Linked DNA regions of Anolis sagrei. The protein of the gene in region 1 purifies or fractionates together with the protein of each later gene. This does not show direct contact. Links are inferred from orthologs where the notes say so. Each region holds a gene or a part of one and is shown in the gene's direction. Other genes may lie near its edges. The genes, in order: SNX9, SYNJ1 and DNM1.

Region 1 (11,030 bases):
TTCGGACAGGTAAACAGGGCCAGAGTCGTTTAGGGCTTTGTAGGTCAAAACCAGCACTTTGAATTGTGCTCGGAAGCTAATCGGCAGCCAGTGGAGCTGGCGTAACAGAGGGATTGTATGCTCCCTGTACCCAGCCCCCGTTAGAAATCTGGCTGCCGAGCGTTGGACTAGCTGCAGCTTCCGGGCAGTCTTCAGAGGCAGCCCCACGTAGAGAGCAGTAATCTAGACGGAATGTATAGCCAATTCTTCAAGAGTAGCACATTTACTTAGAACAGTGTTTCTCAACCTTCCTAATGCCACAACCCCTTAATACAGTTCCTCATGGCGTGGTGACCCCCAACCATAAAATTATTTTCGTTTCTACTTCATATCTGTAATTTTGCTATTGTTATGAATCGTAATGTAAATATCTGATATACAGTATGCATGTTCATTCACTGGTTGAAATTTGGCACAAATACCTGATATGCTCAAATTTGAATACTGGTGGGGATGTTTGGGAGTTGCAGTTGCTGGGATTTATAGCTAACCTACAATCAAAGAGCATTCTGAACTCCACCAACAATGGAATTGAACCAAACTTGGGACACAGACCGCCCATGACCAGCAGTAAAATACTGGAAGGATTTGGTGGGCAATAACCTTGAGTTTTGGAGTTGTAGTTCACCTACATCCAGAGAGTACTGTGGACTCAGACAATGATGGATCAGGACCAAACTTGGCATGGATCCTCAATATGACCAAGTGTGAACACTGGTGGAGTTTGGGGAAAATAGAACTTGACGTTTGGGAGTTGTAGTTGTTGGGATTTATAGTTAATCTACAATCAAAGAGCATTCTGAACCTCACCAATGATAGAATTGGGCCAAACTTCCCACACAGAACCCCCATGACCAACAGAAAATACTGTGTTTTCTGATACCCCCCAGGAGTCCCGACCCCCAGGTTGAGAAATGCTGACTTAGAAGAACATTATGTGAACTGCATAGATCCCGTGGATCATTCATCTGATGGATGGGGGGAGCCCCAAAAGTATTTGAGTCAGAGCTGATTTGATTTTGGGTAAATGCCCCAAGATGTATTGCATACACTATAGGACAAAGACACATTTTCTTGAAGCACTGATATGAATGATGTAGAAAACACTGAGACCAACGACTATGGGAAAGAAAGCATCCATCTCCACTACTATTACCCATATATCATCATATACGTAAGGAATCAATTCAGTCTTAGTAAAACATTGAAATGACAAGGCCTTCAGAAAGGTTGACAAGAATTGACAGGGAAATGTACTTGGGTTTCCTGAGCCAAGCACTTTCTAATGTTTTTGTTTCGTTCTGGATGCTTTTCTATCACGTGGTAACATGGAAAATGAGGATTTAATTATGTTGCCAGTGTTTTTCACGCTATGTTAGATTTGCTACTCAGATTTGCAGTGACCAACCATCCCTCTTTCTGTTTCAGCAGCAAGACTACAAACTTGATTTCAAAAAGCCACTTAAGGAATAAGATACAAACAACAGTTAATTCAGAATGTTTTATAGAAGAGAGAAAGATACAATGGAACCTAGTTACATATCTATCTACCTACCTACCTAATTACCTATCTATGTAAAATTGTTCGTAAGTTTTGCTATGGTATTGATCACAAATTCATATGATCAGATATATGGCTTTTTTGGTTTTAGTGTGTGTACCAACCTGAGCCAGTATTTTTAAACCAGGTTCTGGTTTGTGGATCTCAGGGTTTAATACAAAATGAAGAGGAATCATAAACCTGAAATCTGATAAGCTGTGTAACAGATCTAGAATAGGGAAAGACTTAATTTTACTAGCAGACCACTTTTGTATAGAGGTTCCTGAAAATGCAAACTTATGATAGGAAGCCACACACTGACTAATCCTGGCTTGACTATTACAGCATAAGTAGAAACATTCAGGCTGTGGGCAGAGTTTCCTGAGGATTTGTCTGAGATGACACTGAATTCCAGCCATTCTGCAACCCATACTTAGAAATGCTTGCTATTGTTGCTATATATATATTTTACCACTGAGAAATGCTCTCATCAGCTCTGACTCAACTTTCCTGGACTATGGAGCTCCCTGTACAAAAGGAAAGGGATGGCTATAAGGTTAGCAATACAGAGAAAAGATTTCCTTAAGTACAAGGACAGGAGGCCACTATAAACAAAAATATAATACAATAATATAAGTCATATGGCTTATATTATTGTATTATAGTATTGTTTATAGTGGCCTTTTGCCCTTATAAGGTTAGCAATGGGCTCACTTATCCAAAATATCCCTCTCCAGATGTGTTTGTGGGCCTCTCTAGATCAACCAGTGCTATTTAATAGGAAGCTTCCAGCTGAAGAAGAGTCCAAATATAGTGTTCTGTAGTATCCATGGTTTCAGTATCCACGAGGATCTTAGAACATATCCTCCAGGGATAAGGTGGTTGCATTGCATTGGTATTAGGGGCCAATAAAAGCTGCTTTCTTGACTGAAGAGTGACTATGCCAGGATATGGAAAATCTTAAAACTCTTTCGATAACTTCATCGTCTAGAATTCTGTAAATCTGCTGTAGTCATTATGTCTTGTTTTCTGTAAACCTTCAGTGACTACCTTCAAGTCTTTCCTGTTTTCTCCCAGTAGCATGCTGTTATCTGCATACCTTACATCAGAGCTTTCCAAACATTTCATGTGGGTGGCATACTTTGTAGACACGTATCATTTTTGGGGCACAATAATTTGGTTTAACTGGCAAACCAGAGGTTAAACTAACTCCTTATAAGAGATACAGTTGCATACATAAATTGTAATAATGGAATGTATGGGGACGCAACATCTCTTATGAAAATCTTTCATTTTTATACTTTAAAATATATTATTTGTAAGACAATAACATGCATTTCCAAGATTTCCCATTATGTTTCCATGACATTCCTACACACTGCAGCTAACACACTCATGTGTCAAGACACAGTTTGGAAAGATCTGTGTTATAACAACAATAACAACAACAACAACAACAACTGTATTTATACCCCGCCTCATCTCCCTAGAGGGTCTCTGGTCAGCTTACAACCAAAGAAATGGATACAATAAATGATATACACAGAAAGTGATCACATAAAAGCAATTTTAATTATTTATTTATTTACTTCACTTGTATACCACTTTCCTCCCTTAAAAGGGGATTCAAAGCAGTTTCCAACATAATTATGGCAAAAATCAATGCCTCACATACAGAAACCTAACATAACAATAATAACATACAATTATCAATTAAATCATAAACACATCATTTAAGATTAAAACATAGAATTAAAACATATCAATATAAACATTAAAATCACACAATCCAACAATAGCACAGCATTATAAACACACTCTCACACAAAACAATTTTAGGTGTGTCACACAAACATAACGTGAAACCTCTGAGTTATGTGAAATACAAAATAAATACTGTATTTTAAAAACAAAATATAATGAAATGTATAGGGACACAAGACATCTCATGAAAACCATTTATATATAATAAAAATATATGATTTATTTTACCTGTTAGTGCAATTAAACCCCACTTCGTCCCACGGATCCCTTCTCCAGATACATTACATTGCTCTCTCACCCATTGTTTTTAAACTTTTAATCTCTGCAACCAGCCCTGCCCACTGTGATCAACTTTCTGTGTTCAATGTATGTGATGTATTTTCGAATGATGCATGCAGATCCAAGTTAGGTGGCCTTTTGCAGTTGACAGATTGTGATTTTGTCAATGTTTATTGTTTCCAAATGCCGGCTGAGATTTTTTGGCACGGCACCCAGTGTGCCAATGACCACTGGGACCACCTGCACTGGTTTATGCCAGAGCCTTTGTAGTTCAATTTTGAAGTCTTCATAGCAGCTGAGTTTATCCTGTTGTTTTTCCTCAATGCGGCTGTCATCTGGTATGGCGACATCAATAATCCAAACTTTTTTCTTTTCCACAATCATCATGTCTGGTGTATTGTGCTCCAAAACTTTGTCAGTCTGGATTCGAAAATCCCACAGTATTTTTGCGTGTTCATTTTCCACTACCTTTTCAGGTTTATGATCCCACCAATTGTTTACTACTAGCAGGTGGTACTTGTGACATAACTTCCAGTGAATCATTTGGGCCACAGAATTGTGCCTTTGTTTGTAGTCTGTCTGTGCGATTTTCTTGCAACAGCTGAAGATATGATCCATGGTTTCATAGTTTCCTTGCACAGTCTGCATTTTGGTTTCCTTGCACAGTCTGCATATCGTGTCAGCTTTTCCAGTTGTTTCTCTTCAATCCTGCTGTTGCCTGGGATTGCAATATCGATGATCCATGCTTTGTTTTTCAACACAATTGTGAGGTCAGGAGTATTGTGCTCCAAAACGCTGTCAGTCTGAATTATTACTATTACTATTATTATTATTAGAAACACAACGAGCCCACAGCAGACAAGATCACTCTGCTAGCCAGGCATCGGGGGGGGGGGGGGGGGCTTGAGGGGCTTCACCCCCCCCCCCCAAATTCTCAGGGTGGTCCATGAGAAGGCCTTACCGGTACAGTATTTAAATTGTTATGTTTGTTCATATCATGATCTGATCACCATGCTCAATATATCCCATATGCATGGGGGTATTGTGGTAATGATACAAAAGGTTTGCTAGGGTTTGCTAGGGTAGATCCTCACCCCCCCTCCCCGGGAATCAAACTCAGCTCTCCTTGAATCAAAATCCTGGCTACGGGCCTGCTCCTAGCTGTTGAATTGGATCACACGTGGGACATTTCCCAAGTGTCTAGGACTGTGTGATGTATCAGCAAATAATGCGTGCCCATCCCAGTAAGTTGGACTTCTGCAGCTGGCAGATGGTAATTTTGTCAGTGCTGATTGTGTTTAAGTGCAGGGCAAGGTCTTTAGACACTACACCCAGTGTGCTTATCACCACTGGGACCACCTTTACTGGCTTGTGCCAGAGTCTTTGCAGTTCAAATTTAAATCCTCATATCGTGTCAGTTTTTCTAATTGTTTCTCTTCAATCCTGCTGTTGCCTGGGATTGCAATATCAATAATCCATGTTTTGTTTTTCAACATGATCGTGAGGTCAGGAGTATTGTGCTCCGACACTCTGTTAGTTTGAATTATTATTATTATTATTATTATTATTATTATTATTATTAACACAACAAGATGAGTCCACAGCAGACACTCTGCTGGCTGTTGTAGTGGATCAGAGGCCGGACACTTCCTAAGTGTCTAGGACTGTGTGATGTATCAGCGAATAATGCATGCAAATCCCAGTAAGGTGGCCTTCTGCAGCTGGCAGATGGTACTTTTGTCAGTGCTGATTGTATTTAAGTGCAGGCCAAGGTCTTTAGGCACTGCATCCAGTGTGCCGATCACCACTGGGACCACCTTGACTGGCTTGTGCCAGAGTCTTTGCAGTTCGATCTTTAAATCCTCATATCATGTCAGCTTTTCCAGTTGTTTCTCTTCAATCCTGCTGTTGCCTGGGATTGCAATATCAGTGATCCATACTTTGTTTTTTAACATGATGTGAGGTCAGGAGTGTTGTGCTCCAGAACTCTGTCTGAGTTTGGAAGTCTAAGAGGAGTTTGGCATATTCATTTTCTGTAACTTTTTCCGGCTTGTGATCCCACCAGTTCTTTGTTGCAGGCACAAGTTCCAATGAACCATCTGAGCAACGGTGTTATGCCTCTGCTTGTAGTCTGTCTGCGCAATAGCTGAGGATGTAATCTATTCTTTCATCTGCTTCCTTGCAGTCTACATTTGGGATCTGTTGTTGACTTTTCAATTCTGGCTTTGATGGCACTGGTTCGAATTATTAATTATATAATATATAATAATTAATTATATAATTAATTCAATATAATTATAATTAATTTATTGTTATCATTTATTATTATTATTATTATTAAGATGGCCTGGCTTCAGACCCTGGCAGCGTAGATCCAGCCGAAGAAGAGAGGCCTGAGAAACAACCACCCCGGCCCCCCACCCCAGCGGGAAGAGGCTCTCCTTCCGAAAGCAAGAGTGTGCCTTCTGAGGGCGTCACGTGGGGAGGGGCGTGGCTTGGGCCAGCCCTCCTTTTCCCGCCCCTTTCCCTCCCTCCGCTCAAACCCCGCCCCTGGGCCTGGGAAGAGGAGGAGGAGGAGGAGAAAAGGGAGGAAGGAGAAGGAGGAAGAGAGAGAGAGAGAGAGGGAGGAAGAGGCGCCTTTCTTTTCCCCTCAGTTGGGTTGAGGAGGAGGAGGGAGAGAGGGAAGGAGGAGGCAAGGGGGCGTCTGCAGAGGGAGGGAGCCTCCCTTTCCTCCTCCCCCTCCTCCTACTCGCCTTCCTCTCCGCCGAGGCCCAGGAGGAGGGAGCCCGGAGCTGCATCCCCTCCGCCGGGGGCCACTCGCCATGGCCACCAAGGTGAGCCTTCCTTTCTCCCCTCAGGCCTCTCTGCCTGCTCGCTCGCCATTCCCGTCCTGCTTCCCTCTGGGCGCGCTTTGGGCGGGTTGCCTCCTCACATGAAGGGCGTGTGGAGGCTCTTGTTGTTGTTGTTTTTCTTTGAGGGGATCCCCTTTGATCCCTGGCTCCAGAGGCCTTCCTTCCCTGTCAACTTTCCTCGCTGGGCTCACCCAGAGACTGAGAAATTGTGTTGTTATTGTTATTGTTGGAAGTTTGGCCATTAACGGCCAAAGGAAAGCCCATTATTAGACTGCCTTGGGGAGAATTGGGCAGGGATGGGTTTGACGTGGCTCCCTGCTGTGGGCTCATGGGAGTTGTAGTGTTACAAGGCCTCTGGGATTCTGTGTCCAAAGGCCTCCCTGTGAATGTGGTTTGATACCACTTCAACTGCTCCATGGCTCCTTCCTGTGGAGTAGGCCTCCAGGTGTTTTGGACTTCAGCTCCCACAATTCCTTACAGCAGTGGTTCTCAACCTGTGGCTCCCCAGATGTTTTGGCCTTCAACTCCCAGAAATCCTAACAGCTGGTAAACTGGCTGAGATTTCTGGGAGTTGTAGGCCAAAACTCCTGGGGACCCACAGGTTGAGAACCACTTCCTTACAGCCTCAGGCCCCTTAAGTTCGGGGAGGGGGGGTGGAGGAAGGGGCATGAGGTTGATAGGAATTGTGGGAGTTGAAGTCCAGAACACCTCGGGGGGCTGAAGTCAGCCCTGGTAGGAACTGGCAAACCCACCTCTTAATTCTTTTTTTTTGAGAAACTGCAAGTCGCTTCTGGCATGAGAGGATTGGCTGTCTGCAAGGATGTTGCCCAGGGGATGCCCAGATGTTTTACCACCCTGTGGGAGGCTTCTCTCATATCCCTGCATGGGAAGCTGGAGCTGACAGACAGGAGCTCACCCGCTCCCTGGATTGGAACAGTCTACCTTGTGGTCAGCAATCCTGCTGGCACAAGGGTTCAACTCATTGTGCCATTGGAGAGAAGGGGGGGGGGGGCTCCTAAAAAACCATCTCTTAATATTCCTTGCTGAAGAAAACCCTGTGAAATTCATGAGGTCACCATAAGTTGACAGGTGTGTGCACACAATTATACAATCTTTTTTTTTTGTACCTGTTGTTGGATGTCACAGTGGCGATATCTGGTATATATTCAAACTCTGAAAGATTACAGTCCTGTACAGATAGTCCCCAAGTTACAAACAAGATAGGGTCTGTAGGTTTGTTCTTGAGTTGTATTTGTTCAAAACAGGTACATTTTTGAAGTATAACTCCAGCTTTAATAATAATAATACTATATATATAAATAGTAATATATGAAATAATATTTTATTTATAAAGTGTTGTTATTTTATATAGTATTAGTAGTAGATATATATATGTGTGTATATGTCTGTGTGTGTGTGTGTGTGTAAAGGTAAAGGCTTCCCTGACATTAAGTATAGTCATGTTCGACTCTGGGGGGTGGAGCTCATCTCCATTTCTAAGCCGAAGAGCCAGCGTTGTCTGTAGACACCTCCAAGGTCACATGGCCAGCATGACTGAATAAAGCGCCGTTACCTTCCCGCAGAAGTGGTATCTATTGATCTACTCACATTTGCATGTTTTGGAACTGCTAGGTTGGCAGAAGCAAGGCCTAACAGTTGGCACTCACCCTGCTCCCCAGATTCAAACTGCTAACCTTTCGGTCAGCAAGTTCAGCAGCTCAGCGGTTTAACCCGCTGCACCAGTAGGGGGCCCATATAATATATAAATTTGATTTGGGTAGTGTAGGGAAGGGTTAGCACCCCTGTTGTGTTTGTCTTGCTGTCTGTGTCCCCGTTCAGAAGATTTCACCTCACTTTCTCTTCCTGTCATAATTGGATTTTGGATCAATTGGCTTGTTGTGGAAACAAGGATTGCTGAGAAAGCTTCAGTGGAGACGCCTCTCAGGAGTGAATTTCCCTTCAGAGGGGCAGATTTCTCTCACTTCATGTTGTCTCACCCCTGTTCTTAATGAAGAGTTGTTTGTAAGTCAGATGTTTGTAACTTGCGGACTGCCTGTATAATGCAAATAGCACATATTTGAGGGAACATAATACTGCTGTCCAATATATGCTTATTTGGTAATAAGTCCTGTAGTGTCTGTTTGGTCTTACTTGCTGGTGTTTTTTTTTTCCTTTTGGAGTTTAGGCCTACATTGGTTTTTACATGTGCTTCAAAAATACTTTCAAGAGGAAAGGAAGAATGCTTAGAGGTCTCAAGGAAGGAGTTAATGAATGTTAAGGAAATGTTGTTCCAAAATCATTGTGGGTTCATAATGTATGGCTTACTTGTTTAGTTACCACAAAGGATTTTAAAATTCACCTTTTTTTCCCCTCTTTCTTTGATCTTTCTCATATGTTAGTTTTGGTTGCCAGTCCATGTTTACAATGAGTATTTCCAAATCACTCTATGGAAAAAGCTGTGTCATTTACCTGACCTATAAAAGGAGAATCATTGAGTAATCAGTAACTTCTGATCTTCTGTATACCTGTTTTGGAATTTATTTTAGAACATAAATATAGTTATGTTTTTATTATTTTTTGTTCTTACATAAGGCGTTGAATTTAATTGGTCACTCAATCTGTAATTATAGTGTGATACTATTAATAATAGTTTATTAATGACAGGATCATATATTTTGGCAAATGGTAGATTTGTGTGAAGCCCAAAGGAGTGGATTGACAACAAATCGGATAGATAGGACTATTAATAATATTTTCTGTATTGTCAAAGGCTTTCATGGCTGGAATCACTGAGTTATTGTAGGTTTTTCGAGCTATATGGCCATACTCTAGAACAGGGGTCCTCAAACTTTTTAAACAGAGGGCCAGGTCACAGTCCTTCAAACTGTTGGAGGGCCAGATTATAATTTTAAAAAAAAAACATGAATGAATTCCTATGCACACTGCACATATCTTATTTGTAGTGCAAAAAACACTTTAAAACAATACAATAATTAACATGAAGAACAATTTTAACAAATATGAACTTATTAGTATTTCAATGGGAAGCGTGGGCCTGCTTTTGGCTGATGATATAGGATTGTTGTAGTTGTGTGCTTTCAAGTCATTTCAGACATAGATTGACCCTGAGTGAGGGCCGAGTAAATGACCTTGGAGGGCCGTATTCGGCCCCCGGGCCTTAGTTTGAGAACCCCTGCTCTAGAAGGTCTGACCTCGCATCCTCTGAGGATGCCTGCCATAGATGCAGGTGAAACGTCAGGAGAGAATGCTTCTAGAACATGGTCATATAGCTCAAAAAAACAATATTTTCTATTTGCTGTGATAATCTATAATCTTAAAATTGGCAGAAAGTCTTTCCTTTTTATAGGTTAAAAAGTTGTTAAATCTTAGATATCTTTTGGTTTAGCTTGAACACATGGTAGAAGTAGAGCAGAATCTTTCTGATCATTATTAATGTTTGAACATTATGTTAAACCATAGTTTAACACAATGCAATGAATATCTGTGAACTTTTAATTCATAGTCTTCTTCCCATCTTGTTTTCTGTAACATTGGGGACAAGATCAGAAACCTCTACTGCTATTTGTGGTTGTTCAATGTTGCAAAGTTATTCTTAACTATGTTTAGTGGAATTGGGCCTGGTCTATAGATCATGTTTTATAGTAAACATGTCTTCACTAGCTGTGGCTTGTTGGGTTTGACTTGCACAACAAACCTTAAGTCCAAAAGCTTTTATTTCCTATTTATATTACCTATCAACTGTGTATGTGTTTTTGTTTTTGTGTGTGTGCTTCATAAGCTGAGGGCCTGTTGTGACTTACTCTTCTCACAGAACTAAACATGGCTAGAGAGCAGTGTTTCTCAAACTCTGTTCCTCCAGTTGTTTTGGACTTCAGCTCCTAGAAATCCCAGCCAGCTTACCAGTTAGGAATTGTGAGAGCTGAAGTCCAAAACTTCTTGGAGGATCAGAGTATGAGAAACACTGTTATAAAGATTTTATTCCTACATTTTCATTATGAGACCAGCTGAAGCAAAATCCCAGAGGAAATGCCTTGTGCTTGTACAAACGCAGGAATAGCTGTGTTGACTGTAAAACAAATTCCAAAGGCCATATGATGGTACAACTTTTATTAGGCTAACCAAAAACACACAAATATGCATGCCAGCTTTCAAAACCAAAGATTGTTATCAGGCAAAAAAAAAAAGTACTTTAAAAGAAGTACAGAGTAGAGGTGAAATGAAGATGTTGAAGTCCCATGATGTTGAAGTTCAAGTTTTGCATAGTTTGTGCTGTTTTTCAATAGTCAGTATGGGTAGAGTACATAGCAATTCAGTTTAGATGCATCAGACACCACCCACAATGGGTCATGTATCTAAATAATCATACCCATGTGATCTTCTGAGCAGTTTTGTCCAAATTGAGTAATCTCATTTGTTTCTTCAGAAGTAGTTCAAGTTTTGCATAGTTTGTGCTGTTTTTCAATAGTCAGCATTCGAACAGGAAAGGAAAAAATGACTTAACCCTGACTTTTACAAATAAGGCATAATTGCTGAGT
Region 2 (10,132 bases), on another chromosome or scaffold:
ATTATTGAATTATAAATCATGGTAGAAGTTCCAGAGTAATATGTGCTCCAGTAGTCCTTTGTGGAAGTAATAATTGCTGGTGTAACCCGAAGCCATGTTAAGGCTAGCCAGTATGTATTAGAGCATTTGGCTATTTTATTTCTGTGTAGCCATGTATGTATACAATCTCTTTGCAAGACGAATGAATCACCACAAACCTTACCTGAGAATATTTTATTAACCAGGGTGCTGATGCTAAGTGCTGATCATGCTTTGACTCTGAATTTGAGCAGTATTTCGCCCTACTCATTGCAAGGGAGAAAGTGGATGTATCTGAACATAATATCCAGGGTATTTAGTACTTTCTCACGTATGATCCAAATTTTAAATAATGCTGACCATTTTCTTTCATTTCTTCTTAGGGAGCATATAAAACAGATAATAAAACTTCTATCAAGTATTCGGGCACTGGACCATGCTGTGACCGTGGCTAATGATCATAATGTGAAAGAGTTAAAAAGTGAGGGGAAATAAAGTTTTGCCATGTAATTCTGGGATATAAAAATCATTCCTGAAGTGTAATTTTGTACATATGTAAAGTTTTATTAAACTGTAAACTATGGATTGTTTTTAATACAAAATGCATTCTTATATACAGCATCTATACTAGCATTGATGTCTCTGAGAAAATGAAAAGGAAGCCAGGAAAATTTTCACCTCCATCTTGTTTACAAAGACTTTTATACTCCATTGTCGCCATCTATTCAGTTGAATGACCTTCCATTAACAGGAAATTCCTTAGTATAAAGCTCATTAACAGATCATCTGCAAATAGTATAGCCCTCAAATTTGTGTTTCAGATAATGGAAGATTTCAAAGTAAGATTTCAGTTGGTGGAATTTGGTCCAAAATATATGTATATGGTGTGACCCTGCTCAGAGTAAAGAAATTTCCAAAACAATATCCTTGGTCTCTGTTTGTGTATTGATGATAATAACTAAAAATTAACAATTGCAATTACATAACAGTCCTTGGGGGTTCACAGTAAAATGCATTTCCTTGTAGTGAAAGTACTGTATATTCCGGGGTACTAGACGACTTTTTAGGCATGTAAAACCTTATAAAATTTGCGGAGTCTACTACGCCGGGTATAAAATTAATAATAAAATTACCGGTAGAGCCTCTTGGTGTGGAGGGCCTTGGCCACGGGCTCCCCTCCGCCTCCGCCTCCTCCTCCTCCTCCACTGCCTTGGCTCATGGCAGGCTCCCCGTCCTTCCTCTCTTCCTGGCTGCCGCGCTGGTCAGGCCGCACTCCTTCTTTCTGGTCAGGCCTCGCGAGAAGCGTCTCTTCTCCTGTGAGACATCTCGCTGGAGAAGAGGTGCTTCTTGCGAGGCCTGGCCAGGAAGGAGAGCGGCCTGAGCAGAAGGGCCTCCCGCGCTGCTCAGGCCGCTCTCCTTCCTGGCCAGGTCTCGCAAGAAGCACCTCTTCACCCGCGAGACAACTTTGTCTCGCAGGAGAAGAGGCGCTTCTCGCAAGGCTTGACGGGGCTGGGAGGCAGAGATGCCATGGCGGCAGGAAGAAGGAGAGCGGTCTGAGCAGCGCGGGAGGCCCTTCTGGAGGTGGCGCAGGAAGCAGCCCAGGGGCAACCACACACCAGGCGTAGAGGACAGAAACCACCTGGCGTAGAGGACAGAAAATGCGGAGTCGTCTTAAACGGTGAGCATATCCCCAACTCTCTATTTTGTGTGCTAAAGTTGGGGTGTCGTCTTATAGCCCCAGTTGTGTAAAACCCCAGAATATACAGTATTTCACTATGTAAACAGAATTTTTATTCTGAAAAGAACATTGCTAAATTAATGTATGTTTGATAATCACTAACTTCCATTGGAAATATTTTCTCATGTTACCTTGATTTAGCAGATTTCTATCCTAACTATTCATATACTTGATGTCAGCCCTTCCTGATTCATTCTTGCCGAAGCATTTACTTTCTATTTAGGCTGCCATGTGATTTTTAAAAAGCCGTTCTCAAGCACAATGAGGTGGTAAATAAGGTCCATGCCATACAAGGTAAAGCTGAGTGACAGTGCTGCACTCTTGTGTTAGCACTTTGGCCTATGTCCTAAACTAGTATAAAGATCGGCTCACTGTTGTTCAAAGCTGACGAAGCAATTTAAAATCAAGCACTGCTTATTTTCAAACTTAATTCCATAGGTTTTGATTTTAAGACGAGTGGTGCTTAAATTTATGTCAAGTCTCCCAGACAGTCTTTTTTAAAAACTGCTCATTTTAAAGCTGGTAATCTTGAGTGAAAACCTATTATAGTCCTCTACAGATTTGCTTGGCGATCAGTCTTACATATTTAATTAGCAGCCCCAGGCAACCAACATCAATTAAATTCTTTATTATAGGACAGGCACCAGCTGTTGGGAATTGTGGGAGCTGAAGTTCAAAACACCTGGAGGCCCAAAGATTGCCCATTCCTGTTAAAGGAACAAGGGTTCTCATACAGATTAGGAGCTCTATTCTAATAATATATAGAGCTCCACTTATTTGCACATCTGTTTTAAGAATATACTGTCTATATAAAACATTTATGCTATACAGAAAAAAAAGTTACAACTTCTTTTATATTCTCTTAAAACAAATTCTGGGTACAAAAGTCAGGGAAGAGATTCTTAATTGAAAACATCCTAGTGTTTTATGTTAAGAGAATGAAATAGTACTGATTTATGAAAGCATTTACATTATTTATGAAATTATTCTACTGTTTGGATATAAGTGAGAAAGTGACAAGTAGCTGTACCCGGTCTACTTTTGGTTTGCATACTTTTGCTATTTCAATTTCTAAAAAGGTACAGGTACAAAAGTCCTGTACTTTGGGTTTCTAAAACCTAATGAGTCATTACTCTAAACTTGATATCTGTCTGCATGCAGACAACTGGTTAGATCTAATTTTGGCATAACCTTTCCACGTTAAGTAACTTGTGTCACCCAAAAATAGAACAAGACAGTGGCGGTAGTCCTAAAGCTCTTAGAAAGAATAGGCCAGAAAGCAGTGCTGGCAGAAATTAAATATCGGAGTACAATGACTGATGTAGAGAGGTGTCATAGAGTTAGTATGTGAAGCCTTCCTACTCTGACCTTCAGTTTGTGCACAATGTTAAAAGCATTAAGTCAAACCATTAAAAAAGAAACATCACAGGATTATGTAGTGTGACAGATCTGTCACAAGTAATTATCCAGCAGCAATAAAACATTTTGTTAATATACAGGCAATAGACTTTTTTTCTTCATGCCTGTAATCACTACCTACTTCCAGTGGTCCTGGGGGCCACATACTCCTCCCAAGACCTTGAATGGCAATCCATGCTAAAATGTGGGGTTTTCCGATTCAAGCCACATAGAGTGGGGCTTTGGTATCTGTTCAGTTTGATTCCAGGACCTGTGTTATGAATTCATCAATGGTCAAGTCATATTATTTACAATGGCATAATAAAATGATGTCCCTTAAATAGAATAACAAAATCAAGGCCTGCCTTTTGAAAACATAAGAAATAATGTAAATGCTATGGAATGATGGATTAAATCCTAGTAAAGGTAAAGGTTTCCCCTTGACATTAAGTCTAGTCGGGGGTGGTGCTCATCTCCATTATTAAGCCAAAGAGCTGGTGTTGTCTGTAGACACCTCCAAGGTCATGTGGCTGGTATGACTGCATGGAGCACCATTACCTTCCCGCAGAAGCTGTACCTATTGATTTACTCACATTTGCATGTTTTTGAACTGCTGGGTTGGCAGAAGCTGGAGCTAACAACAGGAGCTCACCCCATCTGTGAGTTTGAACCACTGACTTTCTGATCAGCAAGTTCAGCAGTTTAACTCGCTGTGAAACCACATAAGAAATATACATGATTAAATCCATTGATACAGAGGGCCTACTTTACCCTCCCACTTTTTTTTCCGAAGTAGGCTGAAAATCACTGTTTTAAAGCACTTTTAAAAGCCCCAAACAGTCCAGTAACTTCTGGAATAGGGTGCATTTATTTCTGGATGTAGGTGAACTACAGCTCCAAAACTCAAGGTCAATGCCCACCAAACCCTTCCAGTATTTTCTGTTGGTCATGGGTGTCTGGTGCCAAGTTTGGTTCAATTCCATTATTGATGGAGTTCAGAATGTTCTTTGATTGTAAGTTAACTATAAATCCCAGCAACTGCAACTCTGAAATGACAAAGTATTCATATTTGGGCGTATCAGATATTTGTACCAAATTTGGTCCCAGTTATTGAAAATACATACTGCATATCAGATATTTATATTACGATTCATAAGAGTAGCAAAATTACAGCTATGAAATTGCAACGAAAATATTTTGATGGTTGGGGGTCACTACAATATGAGGAACTGTATTAAGGGGTCGCTGCATTAGGAAGGTTGAGAATCACTGGCTTAGAGGAAGGCGAAATGTGGACAAAAAAATGATGCTGCGTTTAAAAAAAAACAGCCAATTTGCTGAGTCAGCAGGTCTTCTGAAAGGAAACGGATGCGCCTCCGGAGGGTAGTGTTTTCCAGTTAGTCATGTTCCAAAACAATCCATCTTGCCTCCTGACAGCAAGAAGGGATTTCAGGCCAAACCACAAGCACACACACCAAGGTCAAGCACGGTCTGTTTTTGCTGCCTGAGCCTCTTGAGAAAGCCACAACTAGATTGACTATAAGGCAGGCATGGGCCAACTTGGGCCTTCCCTCCAGGTGTTTGGACTTCAACTCCCACCATTCCTCACAGCCTCAGGCCTTTTCCTTTTCCCCCTCAGCCGCTTAAGCTGTGAGGAATGGTGGGAGTTGAAGTCCAAACACCTGGAGGGAAGGCCCAAGTTGGCCCACACCTGCTCTAAAGTAGACGGTGAAGGAAGACTCTCCTTCCCTGGAGACAGGGCGCCCCTCCCTCCCTGTCCTCGCGCACCTCCCACAACTTCCGGTCTGGAGGGGAGGGGGCGGGGCAGTGCGGAAGCGGCGGCCCCGCCGGAGAGGAAGTGAGGCCAGCGCCTCAGGCAGCGGCTGCACGAAGAGGCTCCCTGAGGTGGCCGGTAAGGGGAGGACTCCGCATCTCTTCCGAGGCGCCCGTTCTGCTTCAGTTCTTATTTGGGAGGAACTCGGGCCCCTTCCTGGGCCGGGGGAGCCGTTAGAGAGGGAATCCCAAGATGGAGGAGTCGTGAGCGCCGGCCTGTCACGGCAAGGAGGGATGGGGAGAGGGAAGGAGGGAGGCCTTCGGTATATGGGATTATCAGCGTCGCCTTGGCAAAAGCTTATCGCCTGCGTGGAAAGCCGGGCGTCCACCGCTGGCTATGCTCTCTGAGGAAACGGGGAGATGGGGAGCCTTGGGGGACGGTCTTGGGGAAAGGGAAGGGAAGGGTCCCCATCTCCAGAAAGACCCCGCAGGCCAGGCCTCGCTTCGGGAACCCAGGAAGGCCCCCTTTTCCCCCAATGGGGGGAGAAGCCTGCCAGTTTGGTGTTTCTGTGTATGGCTCCCAAGATGCTGTTTTCCTTGCTCTCAAATTCTGAGGCAGTTCCCAGCTGGGCTTCCATTACTGCTGTCATTAGTAATCATGTTTTCTTTGGCCTGCGGTTCATTAAGAAATCGATTTCCGTCTCAACACCGAGGCGAGGCGGCGTCTCTGACATGGAATTGCGACGGCTCTTCAAAACACGTCTTTTAAAATCTCGCTGGATTTTAAAAGAATCAGATGTTTATATCCAGATGTTAATATCTAGTTATTGTGCAATGTATAAACACACATTGTTGGAGGGGGTTGAAATTGCTACTTAGCCCTGGCTCTGCCTTTAGGCAAAGTGAGGCACAGGAGATTCTTAGGACCCTTCCACACAGCCATATAACCCAGAATATCAAAGCAGAAAATCCCACATTATCTGAGTGTGGACTCGGGGCCCTTCCACACAGCCCTAGATCCCAGACTATCAAGGCAGAAAATCCCACATTTTCTGAGTGTGGATTCAGGGCCCTTCCACACAGCCCTATATCCCAAAATATCAAGGGAGAAAATCCCACAATATCTCCTTTGAACTAAGGGCCATTCCACACAGCCCCATGTCCCAGAATATCAAGGCAGAAAATTCCACATTATCTGAGAGTGGACTCGGGACCCTTCCACACCCCTAGATCCCAGAATATCAAGGCAGAAAATCCCATATTATCTGAGTGTGGATTCAGGGCCCCTCCACACAGCCCTAGATCCCAAAATATCAAGGGAGAAAATCCCACAATATCTGCTTTGAACTAAGGGCCATTCCACACAGCCCTATATCCCAGAATATCTAGACAGAAAATCCCACATTGTCTAAGTGTGGACTCAGATAACCTAGTCCACACTCAAATAATGTGGGATTTTCTGCCTTGATATTCTGGGATCTAGGGCTGCGTGGAAGGGCCCGCAGATAACCCAGGGCCCTTCCACAAAGCCCTATATCCCAGAATATCAAGGCAGAAAATCCCACATTATCTGAGTGTGGACACAGATAACCCAGTTCAAAGCAGATACTGTGGGATTTTCTGCATTGATATTCTGTGAAATAGGGCTGTGTGGAAAGTCCCCGAGTGCCCTTCCAGACAGGCCCTTTATCCCAGGATCTGATCCCAGGTTTTCTGTTTTTCTCAGATTACCTGGCAGTGCGGACACATATAATCCAGTTTAAAGCAGTAAACCAATAACCGGATCTTGGGATAAAGGGCCTGGCTTGAAGGGGCCTGCATTATCTGAGGGCCCTTCCACACAGCCCTATATCCCAGAATATCAAGGCAGAAAATTTCACAATATCTGCTTTTATCTGGGTTATCTGAATCCACACTTAGATAATGTGGGATTTTCTGCCTTAATATTCTGGGATACAGGGTTGTGTGAAAGGCCCTGAGTCCACCCTGCCATTTATTCCATTCAAAGCAGATAGTGTGGGATTTTATTCAGCTTGTGTGGAAGGGGCCATTGTTATCTGGGACTCTCAAGCAACCAGCAAAACACTGAGGAAAATAATACTGCATCCACAAGGCTGTTTTTATAATACAGGCAGTCTCCAAGTTATGGACATGACTGGGTTCTGTAGGTTTGCTCTTAAGTTGAATTTGTAAGTAAGTTAGAACATTTTCAGTGTAACTCCAGCCAAATATATAGCTTTAAATAGCATAGAGAATGGTTAACACCCCTGTGGTGTTTGTTTTGCTGTGTGTTCCACTGTTCAGAACATTTCATCTCACTTTCTGTCCCTGTGGGATTTGGATTTTGAAAAAAATTGGCTTGTTGTGGAAACAAGGATTGGTGAAGAAGTTTCAGTGGAGACTCCTTTTCCCTATGATAAATAATAATAATAGCAATATACTTTATTTATCTTCTGCTCTATCTCCCCGAGGAGATTCAGAATAGATTATGACATACACAGATAGACACCTCCTGGTTGTGTTGCCGGTATGACTGCATGGCCGCCTTTTATTACCTTCCCGCCAAAGTGTTACCTATTGATCTACTCACATTTGCATGTTTTCGAACTGCTAGGTTGGAAGGAGCTAGGGCTAACAGCGGGAGCTCACCCAAACCTACAGCTTCAAACTGCTAACCTTTGGGTCAGCAGATTCAGCAGTTCAATGGTTTAACCCGTTGCGCCATCAGGACCCTTACATCAACTCTCCCATGAGTGAATTTCCCTTCCTAGGGGTAGATTTCTCTCCCTTCCTGTTCTCTCAGCCTCATTCTTAACTAGGAGTCATTTGTAAGTCAGATGTTTGAAACTTGGAATCTTGACTGTACAGTAAAACTATGTTACATTAAGTTTGTCTTTATTTGTCTTTATTTATTTTTAATTACCGTGTTTCAATATAGATATCAAGTTAACACAGAGTTTATGTTATATTATGGGGTATAGATTAGTTACGCCTATGTTTAATAGTAACTGTCAACCAACCAGAAACTACATTTATCTGGTATTTATCAGTCCCCTTGGGTGTCGGCTGAGAGTCTACTGTAGTTGCTTTCAGTGGCAGATAGGGCACAAGAAGCATCAACACCAGGCCCTTTGCCTGCCCTCAGATAAGTTAGTAGATGCTATTTCCTTCCCAGCAATGACAACATCGACTAGTTAACAGCATAGACTAGTTTACAAGTTTCTGCAAAATTTGCTGTCAGCAATTTGATAACTATCTTTCTTTACCAGAAGAGGGTGAAGCAAATGCATGTTTGCATTCTAGAGCTGAGCCCTGATAATCTTTGTCTCGTGCTAAGCACTGAGTATATTTGTAGACGGCTTGGTAGTATTATAAAACTGTGTGTGGTGCTGAAATCCATTACACTTTTTTAAAAAAAAGACTTGAATCTCCTTATTCTGTATTTCACAAGAAACATCACTCTTGTAATCTGCAGCTATTATGCCACACTGTATTTTTATTTAGTTTTATAAACACTAGTATTTAATTTTAAAGGAAATGTTTTTGGCAAATGCTGATTGTGTAATTTGCACTTCACATGAGCAAAGAAAGAGTGCAGAAATGCAACAAACATTACCAAGGTCAATGCATTTTGTTCAGACACTGTAATGTTATACAGAAGTTAGTACCTCTTCTTTAGGTTCCAGTTCTCCACCTCACAAATATCATAAAAGCTAGACATACATTAATATGACAAAAAGCACTTGCATGTTTGGGAACAGTTTCCGAACACAGCAGCTGGTTTAGCTCTGTTGAAGCAATTGAAATCTGATGGTTTATTGTATCAAGAAGTGTTACCGCACTTTGAATGTGATTTTACTGTTTATTGGCAGGAGGTTGGACTGGATGGCCCACAAGGTCTCTTCCAACTCTATGATTATATGAGCGCATTACAGTTCTCCTGAAGCAGTAGTTAGATAAATATCAGAAAAAATATTCAAGACAAAAAATATTACAGTCAAAATAGAGTGTTAACGTTTATTTAGATTCAGATGATAAAAATAACTCAATATAAAGTGATGAAAATAACTCAATATTAAAGAAACCAGATTTTTTTTAAAAACAAAACAACCCGTGAAGGGAACCCATTTAAAAGTATATTTTAGCTGATTATTTATTTATTTTTAATCATGTCAGAAGCAACTTGAGAAACTGCAAGTTACTTCTGGTGTGAGAAAATTGGCTGTCTGCAGAGATGTTGCCCAGAGGATGCCCAGATACCATCCTGTGGGAGGTTTCTCTCATGTCCCCACATGGGAAGCTGGAGCTGTCAGATGGGAGCTCACTCTGTTTCGTGGATTCGAACCACCGGCCTTCAGGTCAGCAGCACAGCCAGCACAAGGGTTTAACCCATTGTGCCACTGCGGCTCTAGCTGCTTATTAAAAGGGTTATAGGGGTGAGAGCAAATAGACTTTCTTTACTAAGTTATCCCATTCTCTCAACATTAGGGTAGAAAAAGCATTTGTTTTTCTGCTCACTTATCATTTTCCAGAAACAAGGAACTGCAGTATTTCAACATACTTGCTTAAGGATTGAGCAGAACCATATGATGGGTATTGGAAATTCTTAGTATTTTTATTCCAGGATGCTTAGGGTTTAAAACATTATGATCAGCAATTTTAATTAAGCTAAGAAGTAGCTGGTAACCAGTGCATCTTATATTGGGTCAGAATTACATATGCCCACTCTAGTCCACTTCCAAACATATTCTTTGTAGACCAACTAAATTTCTTGAAATGTTTAAAGAAGGAGGCTTACATAGAGCATATCACAGAATTCTAATCTAAAATTAATTAGAACATGAGTATCAGATGCCAATTGGATTAAATAATTTGATAAGTATTTTCAAAATTTTATCACATTTTAGCTGCAGTATTAATCTGTTTCTATTCTTTGTTAACTAACCATCATACACTTCCTTGGATTTCTGGAAAAGCTACAGGTGGGAAAACGTTTTACATTCCTATAAGTGGATATAAATACATACGTTTGCAGCTATGTTAGCCAAATGTATATTAGTGTCAATGTGCTTTATAGTAGATTTATTGGAATATTAGAAAACCTACATTAATCCTTTTTAAAACTTTGTTCACAGTTCTGCCTCTGGCAAAGGAAAAATGGCATTCAGTAAAGGTTTCCGGATCTATCATAAACTGGACCCACCA
Region 3 (10,211 bases), on another chromosome or scaffold:
AAAACAAGCAAAACTTCCACGAACAAGAACGAGGACTTAACTTGATTCCAAACGATGCTTCATCTGACTACATATCCTGTACTTGGGACTTTTATCTCCTCGTTAGCGAAGTCTCTAGCATTCAGAAATTGGTTTTGTTTTAACTGATAATGTCTTTTTTCTCGGACCCTGGCAGGCCACCGAAGCCATTGTTCGGCTCTCCTGTTTTGACGAATCTCCTCTTGTCTATTTATTTGAACCAGCTAGGACATTAAGATCATCTGGGGAGGCCCTGCTCTCAGTCCCGCCTGCAACACAGGCATGCTTGGCGGGGACGAGAGACAGGGCCTTCTCAGTGGTGGCCCCTCGGCTGTGGAATACCCTTCCTACAGATATTACATCGGCCCCCTCCCTATTGGCATTTTGGAGGAAAGTGAAGACCTGGTTGTTCGAGCAGGCATTTGAATAGACAGTGTAATGAATATAGGAATACGGAACAACGGATGATGAGATTGGATCTTGATTCTACTGATGAGACGCTAATGAGATGTTATATTGATGTTTAATTGTTTACTATGTTATTGTTTTAATTGTCTCTTAACTGTTTTTATGATTTAATTAAATAAGTTAAATAGCATTTATTTTTTGCTATTGTTAACCGCTTTGAGTCGCCTAAGGGCCGGGAAAAGCGGTATACAAATGAAGTAAATAAGTAAATAAATAAATATTTGCTCATTAATTTCTGCAGCTGAGCCAGGTGCTGAGCTGTTTTCAAGCTCCAAATCATGGGAACTCTCTGGTAACAATTCAGAAAGCACACCATCATCTCCACACCCCTCAGAGACATTCTCATGGGAAACTACACTTTGCACAGGGATCTCCTGGTCATTCTCTGCATCAATATCACTGGCCAAACCATTGCCATCTTGGAACTCATCTTGAAACTCATTAACATCACTCCCCACATCCAAAACACCCTGATCCTGAAATACAATCACAGGCTGAGCCCCAACAATATCGGTCTGCCCACTAACCATTACAGAACCTGTCTTCATAGATCTGTTAGCCTATGGCACTGCAAATAATTGCCTTCTGAGGAAAACTTATCACAAAGGATGACCACCTCACCCGCTTCATAGTGGAGCTTTTTTGTTGAGTTCCAGGGTTAAAGAAGCAGAAAAACAACCTGCCTCAGGGGAGCACGCTTGCTTCTTACTTACTTACTTACTTAAGTGATCCCTCATTGGCCGAGTAGGATAGTCTTCCAGGATCAGTGTTCTGGTGAGTCCGTAGGTGACTGTGGAGCCCTGTTCTTGATCTGCATCTTCTCTCACAGTGAGGGCATTGGTTTTTCAGGTGGAAAGTGGTCTCGGTCGGGGTTGGCCTGATGCGCCTTCCTCTTAGCACATTTCTCTCTTTCGCCCTCTATTCGTGCCTCTTCAAATTATGCAGCACTGCTGGTCACAGCTGACCTCCAGCTGGAGCACTCATAGAATCATAGAATCAAAGAGTTGGAAGAGACCTCATGGGCCATCCAGTCCAACCCCCTGCCAAGAAGCAGGAATATTGCATTCAAATCACCCCTGACAAATGGCCATCCAGCCTCTGCTTAAAAGCTTCCATAGAAGGAGCCTCCACCACACTCCGGGGCAGAGAGTTCCACTGCTGAACGGCTCTCACAGTCAGGAAGTTTTTCCTAATGTTCAGATGGAATCTCCTCTCTTTTAGTTGAAGCCATTGCTCCGCGTCCTAGTCTCCAAGGAAGCAGAAAACAAGCTTGCTCCCTCCTCCTCCCTGTGGCTTCCTCTCACATATTTATACATGGCTATCATATCTCCTCTCAGCCTCCTCTTCTTCAGGCTAAACATGCCCAGTTCCCTAAGCCGCTCCTCATAGGGCTTGTTCTAGGACCAGGGCTTCCCAGTTCTCAGGCGCTTGCTTCATCCATGTTCAACATATACACAAATGGCCAGCCATTTGCCAGAAGGGACAGAGAGTTTCCTCTATGCTGATGATCGCGCCATCACCGCTCAAACAGGGAGCTTTGAAATGGTTGAACAGGAAAGGGAAAAAATGCACATCACAAGTGCTGAACCTGACTCAGCACATAGAAGATGGTTTTTGAAAGGCAGCAGATTACAGAACCTGTCTCCATATACCTGTCAGTAGCCTATGATACTGTAAATCATAGCCTTCTCCTATCACAAAGGATGGCCACCTCACTCGCTTCATAGGAAATCTACTACAAAACAAGAGCTTTTATGTTGAGTTCCAGGGCCAGAGAAGAAGATGGCAAGTGTGCTTGCTTCATCCATGTTCAGCATTTACACAAATGACCAGCCACTTGCCAGAAGGGAGAGAAAATTTCATCTATGCTGACGATCGTGCCATCACCTCTCAAGCAGGGAGCTTTGAAATGACTAAACAGAAGCTCTCTGAAGCTTTAGGTGCTCTTACATTTAAACAAATGACCAGACACTTCCAGAAGGGACAGAGAGTTTCATCTATGCTGACGATCGTGCCATCACCACTCACGGAGGGAGCTTTGAAATGGTTGAAGAGAAGCTCCCCAAAGCTTGGAGTGCTCCTATTGCCAATTACATCTAAAATGCAGATATGTGCTTTTCACCTTCAGTTCAGGAGAGGCTTATTTTGCATAGAATTATGGAAAAAATAGACCCATTTATGATCTCACATCAAGCTATTTTAGGAAAGGCAAAAACTGCACATCACAAGTGCTGAACCTGACTCAACACATAGAAGATGGTTTTGAAAGGCATCAGATTACAGAACCTGTCTTCATAGACCTGTCAGTAGCCTAAGGCACTGTAAATCATGGCCTTTTCCTGAGAAAAAACATATAATATCACAAGGGATGACCACCTCACCCGCTTCATAGGAAATCTGCTACAAAACAGGAGCTTTTTTGTTGAGTTCCAGGGCCAAAGAAGCAGAAGAACAGCCTGGCTCAGGGGAGCCTCAATCCATGGCTCCATCCATGTTCAACATATACACAAATGACCAGCCACTTGCCAGAAGGGTCAGAGAGTGTAATCTATGCTGATGATCGTGCCATCACCGCCCAAGCAGTGCTTTGAAATTGTTGAACAAAAGCTCTCTGAAGCTTTAGATGCGTTGACTGCCTATTTCAGGGAAAACTAGCTAATTCTTAATCCATCTAAAATGCAGACATGTGCTTTTCACCTTAAGGACAGACAAGGATCTTGAGGTCTAAGGATGAGCTAGGAAGGAATTGCACGGAAGCACTCCCAGAGTGATCTGGGAGTCACTCTGGACCATGCTTTGACCTACAAGAAGCACTGCTTGCCTATCAAGCAAAAAGTGGGTGCTAGAAATAATATTGTATGAAAGCTGGCACAACCTTGGGATCACAACCAGACACAGTTAAGACACCTGCCCTTGAGCTTTGCTACTCTGCTGCTGAGTAGTCATGCCCAGTGTGGAACACATCTCCCCACAAAGTGGATGTGGACGCCCAACACCACTGGAGAAAATATACTGTTTAGCCAATATTGCACCACCTGACATCTGTCGGGAAGTAGCAGCCAGCAATGAAATGACCAAGGCATTGTCATCTCTGGCCCATCCTCTGTTCAGATATCAGTCAGCATCCCAATGCCTTAAATCAACTTCCTGAGATCAAGAGAGATACTCGCAGAAACACCTCAGCAAGCAAGAGTCCAAAAGTGGCAGGCTAAAACCCGAAACCTCAATCCATGGCTGATAGTGGATGAGAGGCTGGGTTGTTGTAGGTTTTTCAGGCTGTATGGCCATGTTCTAGAAGCATTCTCTCCTGACGTTTTGCCTGCATCTGTGGCAAGCATCCTCAGAGGTTGTGAGGATGAGAGGCTCCTTCCTGGGTACATGGAGGACGGGGCGACCTGAAAAGTGCTGAACAGACTGCTCTCTGGCACCAGATATTAGTTTCACACCTGGTGGAGGTCATTGGTGGTGGTTCACGGGTGGGGGGTTATTTAAAAACAAAAGGAAAAAGAGCACTTCTTCCTGTTGTCGGCATCCCTGCAAAAGTGCTCAGGTTGACTCCTGATCTGAGATGCTTCCCTCCTGCCGTGAGATGATGCACGAACCAAACAACAACAGCCAGGTTGCACACATTTCCTTGTGGCAACACAGAGCCCCATCCCCGTGGTTGCTATGTCAACATACATTTGCGTCTCTCTCTTCTGAAAAGCCGTTGCAAAACAAGACAAAGCTGTGGCTGCTGCATTTTGGTGCAAATGGGATCCTGAAGGAGAGCTGAAAGGCACATCTGAGCCTTTCGGAATACTGCTGGAACAGGGCCATGCAGCCCAAAAGACTTGCAGCAACCCAACAAGATGAATGGAGAGACCAGGCATTATTTCACATGCAAACATACTTATATATACTTGCCTCACTGCCAATAAACCTATGAGGGTGCAAAACATCAGGAGAGAATGCTACTGGAACAGAGCCATGCAGCCCAAAAAACTTAGAGCAACCCAATGAGGTGTTTTCTGTTGGTCATGGGAGTCCTGTGTGCTACGTTTGGTTCAATTCCATCATTTATGTGGTTTAGAATGCTCTTTGATTGTAGGTGAACTATAAATCTCAGCAACTACAACTCGCAAATGACAAAATCAAAAACTTTTGAGTGAAGGACATACATTAGGTTGTTAGGTGTGTGCTGTCCAAATTTGGTGTCAATTGGCCCACTGCTTTTTGAGTTCTGTTAATATCACAAACAAACATTACATTTTTATTTATATAGATTACTAACTGTACACGCCACGCGTTGCTGTGGCCAACCTTCCCTCCCTCTTTCTCTCCTTCATTTCTTCTCTCCCTCTTTCCTTCCTTCCCTCTTTTTCTTTCCCTTCTTCTTTCTTCCTTCTCTACCTATTTCTTTTCTTGCTTCCTTTGCTCTTTGGTTCTATCCCTACTTGTCTCTTTCCTTCCTTCCTTCCTTCCCTCCCTCCCCTTTTCTCTCTTTTGTTCCTTCTCTCCTTCATTCCCTCTTTCACTTATTTCATTTTTGCCCTCCTTCTCTCCACCCTTCCTTCCCTTCTTTCTTTCCTTCTTTATCTCCTTCCCTCTGCCTTTCCCTCTTTCTCTCCCTCCCTCTTTCTTTCCTTCTCTCCTTCCCTCTTTCTCCCCCTTTCTCTCCTTCCTTCCTTCTCTACCCTTCTTTCTTTCCTTCTTTCTCTCCTTCCCTCCTTCTTTCCCTCCTCTCCTTCCTTCCTTCTCTACCTTTCTCTCCTTCCTTCCTTCTTTCCCTTCTCTCCCTTCTTCTCCCCTTCCCTCCTTCTCTACCCTTCTTTCTTTCCTTCTTTCTCTCCTTCCCTCCTCCTTCTTTCCCTTCTTCTCTCCCTCCTTCTCTCACCTTCTTTCTTTCCTTCCTTCCCTCCTTCTTTCCTTCCTTCCTTCTTTCTTTCTGTGTATGTTTTGTGTGTGTGTATGCACATGTGTGTATATGTGTGTGTTTGTATATATATATGTGGTTTTGCACATGAGTTGTAATGTTTTCTTTTGGTTTTTTGGCTTTTTAAGTCCCTACCTCTGTGTTTTTCAGTGTTTTTATGAGTGATGGTCACTCATTGGCCTGAGAGGTGTCTTGTGTCCAAATCTGGTGACATTCCCCCAGTGGTTTTTGAGTTCTCTTAATCCCACAAATAAGCATTATATTTTTATTTATATAGATTATTATGATTATTATGATTATTATTCTAACCCAAGGCCCTTCCACACAGTCCTATATAACCCAGCATATCCAAGGCAGAAAAATCCCACATGTATCTGCTTTGAACTGGGTCTTCCAAACATGGCCTAGGATGGGAGGATGCTAACCTTGGGCTGCATCCCCCTCTGCCTATTGAACTACATTTCCCAGGAAGCGCTTGGAGGCGCTGCGGAGGGCGCCCTCTGGCGGCGGGAGGCGGGACAGCGCGCTGTCTTTGCGTTGGGAGCCAGTCAAAGCAGTCAGTGCTGCAGCGGGAGGAGGAGGAGGAGGAGGCAAGCCTATGGATTAAGCGGGAGGAGAGAGAGGGAGAGAGAGAGACGGGGAAGGGAGCCCTTGTTGCAGGCCTGGGGGAGCCGGCCCGGGCTTGAGCCTCCCCAGCAGACTCTCTTGTATTGGGACCAGTATTTGGCCAGCTCCCTGGCGGGGCTGCTAAGCGGGCGCAGCCATGGGCAACCGGGGGATGGAGGACCTCATTCCCTTGGTCAACCGGCTCCAGGACGCCTTCTCCGCCATCGGGCAGAATGCCAACCTGGACCTGCCCCAGATTGCCGTGGTTGGCGGGCAGAGCGCCGGGAAGAGCTCCGTCCTGGAGAATTTCGTCGGCAGGTCAGTCTCTCTATGCATCTCTCTCTCTATTTATGTGTATGGCAATCTCTCTCTATCTCTATCTGAGCCTGCTTTCTCCATGCAGAATGGCTCCCTCTAGTGGCAGTGCAAGGGATGGCGGAGAGGATGAATGCAAGGCTTCCATCCCGGCTCCATCCATCCATTGCAGATGCTCCCTGGTGCCAGCACCAACCCTAGGAGGCAGGCCTGTGATTGACAGCCGGGGTTGCCTAGCAACCCCACCCCACCCTCTCCCTCCTGCCTTCCCTCCCCAAGCACAGGCTCAAACAGAGGCATTGCTTTTCTGCAAATCTCCAGGGTAATAATAATAATAATAATAATAATAATAATAGTAAAAATAATAATTCAGAAATTAAATTGGGAATAAATAATAATAATAATAGTTGGATTTTAATTCAGAAATTAAACTGGGAATAAATAATGATGATAATGATAATTGGATTTTAATTCAGAAATTAAGTTCTGAATAAATAATGATAATAATTGGATTTTAATTCAGAAATTAAATTGGGAATAGATAATAATAATAATAATAATAATAATAATAATAGGATTGTAATTCAGAAATTAAATTGGGAATAAATAATGATGATGATGATAATTGGATTTTAATTCAGAAATTAAATTGGGAATAGATAATAATGACGATAATTGGATTTAAATTCAGAAATTAAATTGGGAATAAATAATAATAGGATTATAATTCAGAAATTAAATTGGGAATAATAATCATCATCATTACTTGGATTTTAGTTCTGAAATTCATCATCATCAGGATTTTAAGTCAGAAATTAAATTGGGAAAAATAATAATCATCATAATCATTTGGAGTTTAATTCAGAAATTAAATTAGGAATAATAATCATCATCATCATTTGGATTTTAATTCAGATATTCATCATCATCATCAGGATTTTAATTCAGAAATTAATTTGGGAATAAATAATAATCATCATTTGGATTTTAATTTAGAAATTAAATTGGGAATAATCATCATTATTTGGATTTTACTTCAGAAATTCATCATCATCATCAGGATTTTAATTCAGAAATTAAATTGGGAATAATAATAAATAAAATAATAATAATAGGATTTTAATTCAGAAATTAAATTGGGAATAATAATAAATAAAATAATAATAATAGGATTTTAATTCAGAAATTAAATTGGGAATAATAATAAATAAAATAATAATAATAGGATTTTAATTCAGAAATTAAATTGGGAATAATAATATATAAAATAATAATAATTGGATTTTAATTCTGAAATTAAATTGGAAATAATAATAATAATAATTTGGATTTGAATTCAGAAATTACATTGGGAATAATAATAATAATAATTCTATTTGGATTTGAATTCAGAAATTAAAATGGTAATAATAGTAAAAATAAGCAGCAGCCATTCTAGGTTTGGGGAGAAGCATGCCTGTTTTTCCTTCTGGAGGGAGGGTGGAGGAGAAGAAATACACACACACATAAAAAATTAATAATAATAATAATAATTTATTAATAGACCTCCCTATCTCTCCAAGGGAACTCAGGGCAGCTTCCAGACAAAAGAAAGAAAGAAACGAAAACATTCAATACCTTGGTAGAAAAGATCCACAAAAATCAAGCAGTAAAAAAATAATAATTAAAAATTAATAAGTGCTCAGCCAAAAATATATATAATTAATAATTGGATAAACATAATGATCTAAACAGATACACGAAGACCATAAAAACCTCAATGACAAGAATGCACAAAAGTATGTAAATTATTTAAAATTTAATAAATAAATTATATATATATATGTTAATAAATAAATAAATAATATATATATATATATATATATATGTATGTATATGTGTGTGTGTGTGTGTGTATATATATATATACACACACACACACATTATTTATTTATTAACTGCCTTTTCTTTACCCTGCTCTATCTCAACCTTGGAGGAGCTTCCAAATTGGCAATCATTCAATGCTGCATTAAATATTAAAAATACAAATACAAAATCATAAATACAATGGCCATCAAAACAATGGCATGTCAATACAATGCATAGACTTGGAAGCATCGTACGTAGACCTGGCATCATAATCCAGAAGCTGATCCAAATTCTGTTCATATATGTATACATACACACACACACACATATATCTTTTGGGGTTGGAGATGGAAGGACGGGGCGGTGGTTGTGTTGTGTTGTGCTCTGCCTCCCCATCCTCAAGGCAAGGAGAGATCGAATGGTGTTAATCCCAAATCATCCTGGGATTGCTGAGCTGAGTCTGGGCAACATTCCCCTCCCATTGCTTCCTCTTCCCCTTCCTTCTGTTGCTCCTGGCCTTGGGAAGTTAACCTTGTTGGCTAGGAAGAGAGGATGTGAAGGAAACAGCTCCGTCTGCAAGCAAAGCCCAGTCCTCAACCCCCATCGTTACGTAATCTCAAGAGAGGAGAGAAATATCAGAAGGGTAAAAGGGGGGCAATGCAGGCAGAAGCAAATCTTCATCATTTTCGATTGGGCCATTGCAATTCCTTCCAGGAGGATGCAACGTCAATGCAACGTTGCTCTTCTTGCAATGATGCAATGTTCGGCATCCCCAGGTCTTATTATTTTCCACCTCTTGGGCTTCTCTCAGTGCTTTACAGGAAGGCAAAAAGTATATAAATCAATAAGAGAGGAAGAGAACAGGACCAATGGGGTCGGCCGCATATCAATGCGGTGTCAGTGCCTGGAAATGTGTTAGCGATGCACGGCACGTCCGCCAGCAAGATGCTCCCTCTGTAAGAAGAACAGTGCAGTCCCTGCCAGTCGTTGCTCGCTTGCGTCGCTGGTTGCAATCCCTGCAAAGTGCAAATTCAAGGGAGAGAACACACCAGCACATCCTCCACTCTCTGCCTCCCGGTTTTGCCAGGTTCCACGCAAGACAGTTCCACCTTGCCTCCTGTGCTGTTAATAATATAATAGAATTTAATGTAATATAATATAATATAATATAATGTAATGTAATGTAATGTAATGTAATGTAATGTAATGTAATATATTATATAATGGTGCTCCATGCAGTTTTTATATTATATTATTATATTAATAATATAATATTATAATTATTATAATATTATCATATTAATAATATAATATTATTTAATATAATAATATTATATTATTATATTATAATAATATAATATAATGTAATGTAATATATTAATATAACGGCACTCCATGCAGTTATGCCGGCCACATGACCTTGGAGATGTCTATGGATAATATATTACAATAATATATTACATTATATTTTTTAATATACTATATCAATATATTAATATAATGGCGCTCCATGCAGTCATGCCAGCCCTTGGAGGTATCTATGGATAATGTATTACAATAATGTATTACATTATATTAATACAATATAATATAATATATCAATATATTATATTAATATATTAATATAATGGCGCTCCATGCAGTCATGCCTACCACATGACCTTGGAGGTGTCTACGGACAACGCTGGCTCTTTGGCTTAGAAATGGAGGTGAGCACCACACCCCAGAGTCGGGCACGACCTGGTTTAATGTCAGGGGAAAACCTTTACCTTTACTTTACCTATATTATATTACATTATATAATATTATATTAATATATTATATTAATATAATATATAATAATATAATAATAATTAAAGCGCTGAGCTGCTGAGCTTGTTGACCAAAAGGTCACAGGTTCGATTCCGGGAGCGGCAAGAGCTACCACTGTCAGCCCCAGCTTCAGCCAACCTAGCAATTCGAAAACATGCAAATGTGAGTAGATCAATAGGTATCGCTCTGGCAGGAAGGTATGTGTTTACAAACATAAACACACATATAA

The links.
Region 2: the proteins of SNX9 (region 1) and SYNJ1 purify together in Homo sapiens (co-immunoprecipitation; 3 studies listed by BioGRID and IntAct, counting the BioPlex papers as one, with this or other methods). This does not show direct contact. The link is inferred for Anolis sagrei from reciprocal best matches to the Homo sapiens genes SNX9 and SYNJ1.
Region 3: the proteins of SNX9 (region 1) and DNM1 purify together in Homo sapiens (co-immunoprecipitation; 6 studies listed by BioGRID and IntAct, counting the BioPlex papers as one, with this or other methods). This does not show direct contact. The link is inferred for Anolis sagrei from reciprocal best matches to the Homo sapiens genes SNX9 and DNM1.

The regions. Positions count from the first base shown.
Region 1 is NC_090021.1:69,211,346-69,222,375, reverse strand, and holds the start of SNX9 (sorting nexin-9), read left to right. Parts: upstream 1-6,174; 5' UTR 6,175-6,444; coding exon 6,445-6,456; intron 6,457-11,030. UniProt on the Homo sapiens protein: Involved in endocytosis and intracellular vesicle trafficking, both during interphase and at the end of mitosis. Required for efficient progress through mitosis and cytokinesis. Required for normal formation of the cleavage furrow at the end of mitosis.
Region 2 is NC_090023.1:69,427,152-69,437,283, reverse strand, and holds the start of SYNJ1 (synaptojanin-1), read left to right. Parts: upstream 1-4,962; 5' UTR 4,963-5,066; intron 5,067-5,083; exon of another isoform or gene 5,084-5,211; intron 5,212-10,062; 5' UTR 10,063-10,084; coding exon 10,085-10,132. Other genes in the region: PAXBP1 (PAX3- and PAX7-binding protein 1), read left to right, coding at 402-513. UniProt on the Homo sapiens protein: Phosphatase that acts on various phosphoinositides, including phosphatidylinositol 4-phosphate, phosphatidylinositol (4,5)-bisphosphate and phosphatidylinositol (3,4,5)-trisphosphate. Has a role in clathrin-mediated endocytosis.
Region 3 is NC_090031.1:16,581,586-16,591,796, forward strand, and holds the start of DNM1 (dynamin-1), read left to right. Parts: upstream 1-5,924; 5' UTR 5,925-6,164; coding exon 6,165-6,325; intron 6,326-10,211. UniProt on the Homo sapiens protein: Catalyzes the hydrolysis of GTP and utilizes this energy to mediate vesicle scission and participates in many forms of endocytosis, such as clathrin-mediated endocytosis or synaptic vesicle endocytosis as well as rapid endocytosis (RE).